Linked DNA regions of Cricetulus griseus. The protein of the gene in region 1 purifies or fractionates together with the protein of each later gene. This does not show direct contact. Links are inferred from orthologs where the notes say so. Each region holds a gene or a part of one and is shown on either strand. Other genes may lie near its edges.

The links.
Region 2: the proteins of Rpl13a (region 1) and Ctcf purify together in Homo sapiens (affinity purification with mass spectrometry; 4 studies listed by BioGRID and IntAct, with this or other methods). This does not show direct contact. The link is inferred for Cricetulus griseus from reciprocal best matches to the Homo sapiens genes RPL13A and CTCF.

The regions. Positions count from the first base shown.
Region 1 is NC_048599.1:154,013,381-154,017,603, reverse strand, and holds the start of Rpl13a (60S ribosomal protein L13a), read left to right. Parts: upstream 1-1,412; 5' UTR 1,413-1,489; coding exon 1,490-1,504; intron 1,505-2,551; coding exon 2,552-2,624; intron 2,625-2,655; exon of another isoform or gene 2,656-2,738; intron 2,739-2,871; coding exon 2,872-2,937; intron 2,938-3,043; coding exon 3,044-3,145; intron 3,146-3,186; exon of another isoform or gene 3,187-3,271; intron 3,272-3,339; coding exon 3,340-3,425; intron 3,426-3,463; exon of another isoform or gene 3,464-3,533; intron 3,534-3,600; coding exon 3,601-3,660; intron 3,661-3,704; exon of another isoform or gene 3,705-3,793; intron 3,794-3,900; coding exon 3,901-4,023; intron 4,024-4,112; coding exon 4,113-4,199; 3' UTR 4,200-4,223. Other genes in the region: Flt3lg (fms-related tyrosine kinase 3 ligand), read left to right, coding at 233-358. UniProt on the Homo sapiens protein: Associated with ribosomes but is not required for canonical ribosome function and has extra-ribosomal functions.
Region 2 is NC_048596.1:181,953,802-181,957,449, reverse strand, and holds part of Ctcf (transcriptional repressor CTCF), read right to left. Parts: intron 2,333-3,648; coding exon 2,212-2,332; intron 962-2,211; coding exon 812-961; intron 1-811.

The DNA of each region.
Region 1 (4,223 bases):
AGTAGATTTTGTGGTGCAAGTCCGAGTTCCTACACCCTGGAGGGGAGGCAGAAGGGTCAGGATTCTGGGTTATCTACTAATACACAGAAATTCGAGGCTAGCCTAAAGGGGGGTGGGGTGGGTGTAGGGAGGGGCAGGGAGAGGTGGGAGGGTGTAAGCTCAGTGGTAGAGGGCTTGAAGGGTGCTGAGAACTCCAGTCTTCAGACAGACCATTGATGATCCAGTTTTACAGAGGAGGATACTGAGGCCAAGCAGGCGTCACCTGACAGATGTTGCACAACCTGGACACAGGGAAAGTTGGGTAGAGCCTGGCCCCTTCTTGGACCTTGCTGCCCCTCCAGCCCTCTCCCCAGGATGAAGTCAACATCAGGACCCAGCCCCACTCACCCCACTCTGTACAAACTCCTTGCTCCCATGAATTTGTATATAAATGGTTTTTACCAGATCTTCCGGACCTATCTGTGGACGGGACAGGGAGTGGGTGGGCTGCTTTAGGTCTCAGGATCTTGGTTTTGCGGGGCTTGGTCATGTAATCCCACCTCCCCAGAAGCTGAGGCAGGATCTCAAGTTTAAGGCCAGCCAGGATTGCAGAAATACTATGTCAGAAGCCAAAACCACGACAACAGGTTTGTTTTCTGAGGCCACCAATGGCCCAGGGTCAGCACTGGGTGATGCTCTCTCTAACAGAACCCCGATGTGAGGCAGAAGCAAGATCATAAAGCCACCAAGTGGCAGGAAAACAAAGTGCTGGAGCCTCCAGGAGGAATCGAGTCAGGCTGGGGAGTTTGGGGAGGTTCTCTAGAGAAAGTGAGTCAGTGAGACGGCCCAATCTGTGTTTTGTTGTGGGAGGTATAGGTACCCCTCAGGGAGGGTATCTCAGATGGCATGCTTAGCCGATACAAAGGCCATTGCAACAGAAGCACGTGTCTGCGGCCCAGGACCCTGCAAGTCCTTCCTCCCACCGTCTCTTCCTTCTGGGGTGACTACCTCCACCGGTTTAACATTCGGAAACTCCTAGATTCAAGAAAGGCCATCAGTTGTCCGCACACCATGAGGTTGAAGGGAGGGGACGCGGACACTGCGAGACCGGCCGGGACTTACGCTCGCCCCCTGGCGGCCACCGCGCGCTCCGCAGCCGCCGGTCCTTGAGGGAGTAATGGCGCCGCGCACAGCGGATACGGGAGCGAACAGCGCTCCCTCCAAATATGGCCGCCGGGGCCGGACGGCCCCGTCCCGCCGAAGCCGCCTCGGGACCCACGTGACCTCCCGCCCCACACAGTCATGGCCGCGAAGGTCCAGCTCAAACCAGTCCGTGATTGGACCATATAAAGATGACCCACCGTCCAGTGTGCGCATGCACACCGCTTCAACCAATGAAAAGACAGAAAGCCTTCCGTTCGTCCCGGGTTGCGTCACTTCCTCCGCCCCTGCGGCAAGGGATAAGAAACCCTGCGCCAAGACCTCCTCCTTTCCCAGGCGGCTGCCGAAGATGGCGGAGGGACAGGTCGGGCTCTGCGCGCGCCGGGAGGTGTGGGGGGTCGGGCGGGCGCCAGGCCGGAGCGGAAGGGGCCTCCGCTCCGCTCGGCGTGTGCAGTGGGACTTAAGGACGCAGTTGAGCAAAGGAAGAACGTTTTGACGCGAGGGCAGTGTAACGTGGGCATAGCGAGCCGCGCATGTCTTTAGGTATGGGGCGACGGAACGCTACGTGTTTCCCGGGGAGACGGGAGTGGGGCTTGGGGCCCCGACACCCGCTAGCAACCTTGAGAGGTCCGTCTCTCAGACACTTGGAACGCGGGGAGCTCGGGGCCGCTCGCTGCTGCGCTTCTGATGCGAAGCTGCTGAGTTAGAGACTCCTGGTTTCGGGACTCAAGCGTGCCGGTTTCTGTAGCTTCTGTCAGTCCTAAGGGTGCTTTCAAAGTCTTTAAGTGTTACGGGATGAATTAGTGAGAAGCATCGGGATTTTGAGGCTATTCAGTAATCGAAATCACCTTTGCTGGGGTATTTTTTCTTCTTAAAAAATGCTTGGAGGATCTCTGCCCGTCTCTTGTCGTTTGGGCCGGGTTACAAGCACATGCCAGCCACCAGGTGTGAGACTTGAAGACTGCTGCTTTCCAGAATTACAAACTAGACAGGGCAGCCATTATATAGTGAATTATTGGGTTTTGCTTTATACTATTGGTATGGTTTCTGTTCCTTGTGAGCGAGTTGAGACTATGATGCAGAGCCACCGTGGCCTAAACTTACCCCAAACGAAGTCTTAGCATGGGATTTTGTTAAAGGCTGGCTGCTTGCACAAGAAGTAGTAGATTGCAGTTTTCCAGCCATTTGAGTCTTTGCATGACAACGAGATGAGGCTCAGTTAAGATTGCAGGCACTTGAACCCTTCTCACGTGCTGCTGGGGCAGCCTTGGGCTTTCTCTTGGTTTGTTGTACCCCTTTGGGGCACCTTATCTGCTTGATAAGTCATCCTGTGGGGAAGGGCACTGGCATGAGTGGTTGGTAACTTGGTAGAGAGAGCCAGACTGCTTCCTAAGCCTTTTGTCTCCCACAGGTTCTAGTGTTGGATGGCAGAGGCCATCTTCTGGGCCGCCTGGCGGCCATTGTGGCAAAGCAAGTGCTACTGGGTAAGTTTCATTCAGAATTTCTGTTTGCCTGCAAGTCAGTGATGAGCAACAATCACCATCTTTCGTTTGAGTCTCACGACTGTGAGATCAACCCATGCACCGCTCTGAGACTTGACGGTCCCTCCTGGACTCCTTCCTGGTTCAAGTGGTTTTGGAGCAGGAGATTTGCACTTCATCTAGGATGTGGTTTTTCTGGGTGTTTAGGGGTGACTTTACTGGCTGTCTTCACAACCCATGTTCTCTCTAGGCCGGAAGGTAGTCGTTGTGCGCTGTGAAGGCATCAACATTTCTGGAAACTTTTACAGAAACAAGTGTGAGTGAGGGCCCAGGGCATCATCTCTAGGTGGGGTGCTGACCTAAGTTCTGGACAAGCAGGTCCTTGGTGTAGACTCGACCTCATCCACTTTTCTTCTTGGCAGTAAAGTACCTGGCTTTCCTCCGAAAGCGGATGAACACCAACCCCTCTCGAGGCCCCTACCACTTCCGAGCCCCGAGCCGCATTTTTTGGCGCACTGTACGAGGTGAGTTGGGCCTGTGGGTGCCATGGAGAATGGGGAATCTGGCAGCCTATGATGAAGCGATCTCCCACTGGTGTTCGAGTTTCCCAACTATGAGACAACTCTACATGCACTACCATCTGAGGCTGGGTGGGCTCCCAGATCTGGGCTAAGAGCGCTTTTCAGCCCCTCTGAAGGGAGTCCTGTTCTTCCCACAGGCATGCTGCCCCACAAGACTAAGCGAGGCCAGGCTGCCTTGGAACGCCTCAAGGTGTTGGATGGGATCCCTCCTCCCTATGACAAGGTGAGCAGCGCAAGCCTAGCTTTCCACAGCCTGTGTCCAGCGTCTGTGATGTTCTGCTATTACCTACATTGTTTGAGCCTCATGAAAACGCCACTAGCTGAGACGCCTGCCCCACCAGCCTCCTTCCCAGGTGATGCTCACAAAAGGTCTCTGAGCCCTTCTCCTTCTCTAACAGAAAAAACGGATGGTGGTCCCTGCCGCCCTCAAGGTTGTGCGGCTGAAGCCTACTAGAAAGGTAAGCTTAAAGTTGCAGAGTGGTCTAGGTGGGACCTGTAGACTGGCAGATGATGTTTTTTTTCTCACGATGGTCTTCGGATGCCACCGATTGGCAGTGCCGATAATGCCACAGGCTCAGCTGATGCCAGTAGGGGCTCCTGTATAGGGGGATATGTCCTTTAAGAGAACCTCTAGGGTCCTTTAGCTCACCCTTGTGCTGCCGGGACACCCATGTCCTTACAGCCTTGTGCCCCTGCAGTTTGCCTACCTGGGGCGCCTGGCTCATGAGGTCGGGTGGAAATACCAGGCAGTGACAGCCACGCTGGAGGAGAAACGCAAGGAAAAGGCCAAGGTCCACTATCGGAAGAAGAAGCAGCTCTTGGTGAGGACAGGACCCTCACATATGCCCTGGGGCGGGAAAGGGTAGTCTGGGAGAGAAAGCCACTCACCGCTTGTTACTTCACCTCACAGAGGCTACGCAAACAGGCAGAAAAGAACGTGGAGAAGAAAATAAGCAAGTTCACAGAGGTCCTCAAGACCAACGGACTCCTGGTGTGAGCCCAATAAAGACTGTTTGTGCTA
Region 2 (3,648 bases), on another chromosome or scaffold:
TCCACAGCCTAAGAACATGAGATCAGAAGTAAAACACTTGCATAGCAGGTGTGAGACCCTGGGCTCAGTCCCTACCTCCCTTCCCTATCTCTAATCCACCAATAACAACAGGTGGAGAGACCAGTGGGTGGAAGATGGAAACCTGAACAAAGAGGACGATATTAGACATGGAGGCCAGGAAGGGAGATCAATAGGAATTAACTGACAAAGAGAAAAGTGGATGCTGCAGATGACACCAAATGGCACAGCCATTTACAGAGATGAGAATGGTGGAAAGAGGGAAAGCTGTGTTTATTCTGGCAGGGGAGTATAAGTCATTTTAGAACTACACTGAATTTGAAACAATGACATTAACACACAGAAAGAGAACTCAAGATGATCCTATGTGTAAGCATGGTTACATTCCTACAGATGAATTCTCCCTCTGTGTAATTCTGGCTTATCTATATACAAGAATAGTTACCACCAAACCAGTAAAGTACTCCCATTACTGAGAGAATGTATAAATACTCTTAAAAACCAGAAGGAAACTGACCTTAATCTGAAACATATGTTACTTTCTGAACATTTAGGGGATGAAAGCTACTATTACGGGTATACTGGTTCCCATTTAACTTATGTGTAATCTATATTCAGGATATATTATCTTGTAGTGAGACTCCAATAGAGAGAAGATATTGGGGGGAGGGAGCTAAGCAATGATTTCATTAATTAGTAAACTGTTCACAGACACAAAAGTTTGAGTTTAAGGTGAAGTCTTTATACTTTTATTTTCATTAGTTCTTTATTTGCCTCTAGTAAATCTACTTACCCAAATCACTTTTTCGGGCTATGACAGTGTCACAGTGGGGACAATGAAATTTGGCCACATTTTCTGTGTGCTTCTGTAAAATGTGCATCTTCATGGTACCACTCTGGGTAAACCGAGCATGACAAATATAACATTCATATGGTTTTTCCCCTTAAAAGGAAATACAGAATGAACACATTAAATGAATAAATATTACGGCTTAGGTGGTGAGTAGCTGAGTGGCAGACATATATGTTAGGCCACACAGAATCTAAGGCCTTACTTAAGGTAAGGAAGGTGTAACTGTTCAGAATTAGCAAACCCTATACATTTGCTCTACTCAGCTCTCTACATACATAGCCTTCCATTTTATGATCACAGTCCCATCCCCCCTCCCCTGCCCCGACAGGGTTTCTCTGTATTGTTTTGGAGCCTGTCCTGGAACTTGATTTTTAGACCAGGCTGGCCTCTGCCTCCCAAGTGCTGGGATTAAAGGCATGCGCCACCAAGGCCCAGCAGGATCACAGTTCTTATGGCAAAGCTTACCTGGGGGGGAGGGCGCTATAATATAAATTTTTAGAAGCAGGGTCTTGTCTTGTAGCCTAGAACTGTCTCTGGCACTAGAGATCCCCTCAGCCCGAGTGTGAAGATTATAGGCTTGTGCTATCATACTTAGCATAAGATTTTCTGTTTTCAAAATGATAGTACTCAGGCAGAGTCAATTAGGTTAGATAATCTATCCAGGCATATTTTACTTTTTGAGACAAGGACTCACTATGTAGCCCTGGCTAGTCTGGAATTTGCCATGTAGACCAAGCTGTCCTCAATTCATATAAAATATCTGCCTGCCTTTGCTGGGATTAAAAGTGTATGCCACCACACCCAGCTTATATGTTTAAATACTAGATTTTAATTTCATTTGATATCTTCATTAAAAGAACCATTTTAAGTTATAAAAAGACACAAATTGAATAAAATTATTCTCCGGTATATTTTTAGAACCATCCTTTCTGAGTCCTTTTTTGTCTTTACAGACAGGGTTTCTCTGTGTAGCCCTGGTTATCCTTAAACTAGCTCTGTAGACCAGGCTGGCCTCAAACTCACAGAGATCTGCCTGCCTCTGCCTCCCGAGTGTTGGGATTAAAGGTGTGTACCACCACCACCTGGCTCTTTTTGATATTTTCTCTGTGTAACAATCCTAGCTGTCCTGGAACACACTCTGTACACCAGGATGGCCTAGAACTCAGAGATCACCTGCCTCTGCCTCCCAAGTGCTGGGTTTAAAGGCGAGCACCGTCACCACCCAGTACCAGAGCTTTTCTTAACAGCCTTCCTTCCCTTCAGTCAAGCCCTGGGTGCATGTGGCAGTTTACAGGATCACTGAGGAGCAGCTCATAGTACCGAGACAGGAGGAGTCCTACCTGAATGGGTTCTCATGTGCCTTTTCAGCTTGTATGTGTCCCTGCTGGCATAACTGCACAAACTGCACTGGAACGGGCGCTCTCCAGTATGAGAGCGGATGTGTCGTTTTAATTTGCTGACCTGAAACATGAAAGCAACCGAACCTCTTATACTTCTGTTAACATGGACTGTAATATGAACTCTATATGGTTTAGGCACAAAATTCTTAGTTTTGGGGTACTAAAGTTAGAAAACTCTAAAAGATAGTGTTTCTTCATTGTAGCCTTTGCTGTACCTCAGCAATATTACAACCCAACTAGAAGGGGATAAACAGGTAGGACATAGATCAGGCAAAATTGTCTTCACTCATAATTGAGTTGGGATATAAGGTACACATGGTATACTATATAGTTTTTACTTCATAACTGTGTCGTGTCCTCCCCCCCCCCCCCCCCCCCCCCCCCCCCCCCCCGCGGTGGTCCTGAAGATTGAACACAGGGATTTGTATTAGACAAGTGCTCTCTTATCCCTCACCCTCTTTCCTCTCATTAATACATTAGTATTTCCTAGACAGGCTGAGATCCAAGAGTCTTTCACTTCTCTTCCTTGCCATTGGCCATGCTTTCTGTCTCTCGGTAAACACCCTACATCAAATTATGAGTTTCAAATTTGACTCTAAGAAGCACTTTGAGCATTCATAATTAATGTCTATCTGAATTTTTTAGAAAAAGTTTTCTGATTTTAAGAGAAAACCCTTCCACACCCATGAGAATTACACATTAAATTTTCACATTTGCTCAATGGTCAAGTAACTGTCTTAGCTGAATTGCTTCATCTCTTTCTCCGCCTCTAGCTGCCATACCCATGGCTTCTTACATGCTAGGTGATGTTCTAACACTCACCTTAAAACCCCCACCTGATTACACATACTCTCACAATATTCAACAGCACACAACTCTCGTTAAATTTCAAATTTTTCTTAACTCGTCACTCACATTTTATTCTGATGGTAAAATTTGAGTCACATTGAATCTTTATTTATTCATGCCCTCTGAAAAAAATTTGTAACCTCTTCTAAAGATATCACAGAAACAGTTTTTTTTTTTTTTTTGTAACTTAGCTTAAGTCATTTCACCACTACCAGAATTAGAAGCACCTCAAAGTTTCATAGTTCTTACTATTCTTACTATTCCCAATTGAAAGTAAATTAAAAAATGCTCAGAGGTCTGAAACTATTATTACTTCTCTTTTTAAACAGTGCTGAGGACTGAACACAGGGTCTGGTACTCTACCACTGAACTACATCCACACCAAGTCCCCCAAATTAAGAATTGACAAGCAGCAATTAGCAAATCCAACACTGATTTCATGTGATGGGTCACAGTAAAAATACAGGTACACTGTAAGTAACTACATAAAATTATCTCCAGTTTGTGTGCACAATCTTATGCTTAGAC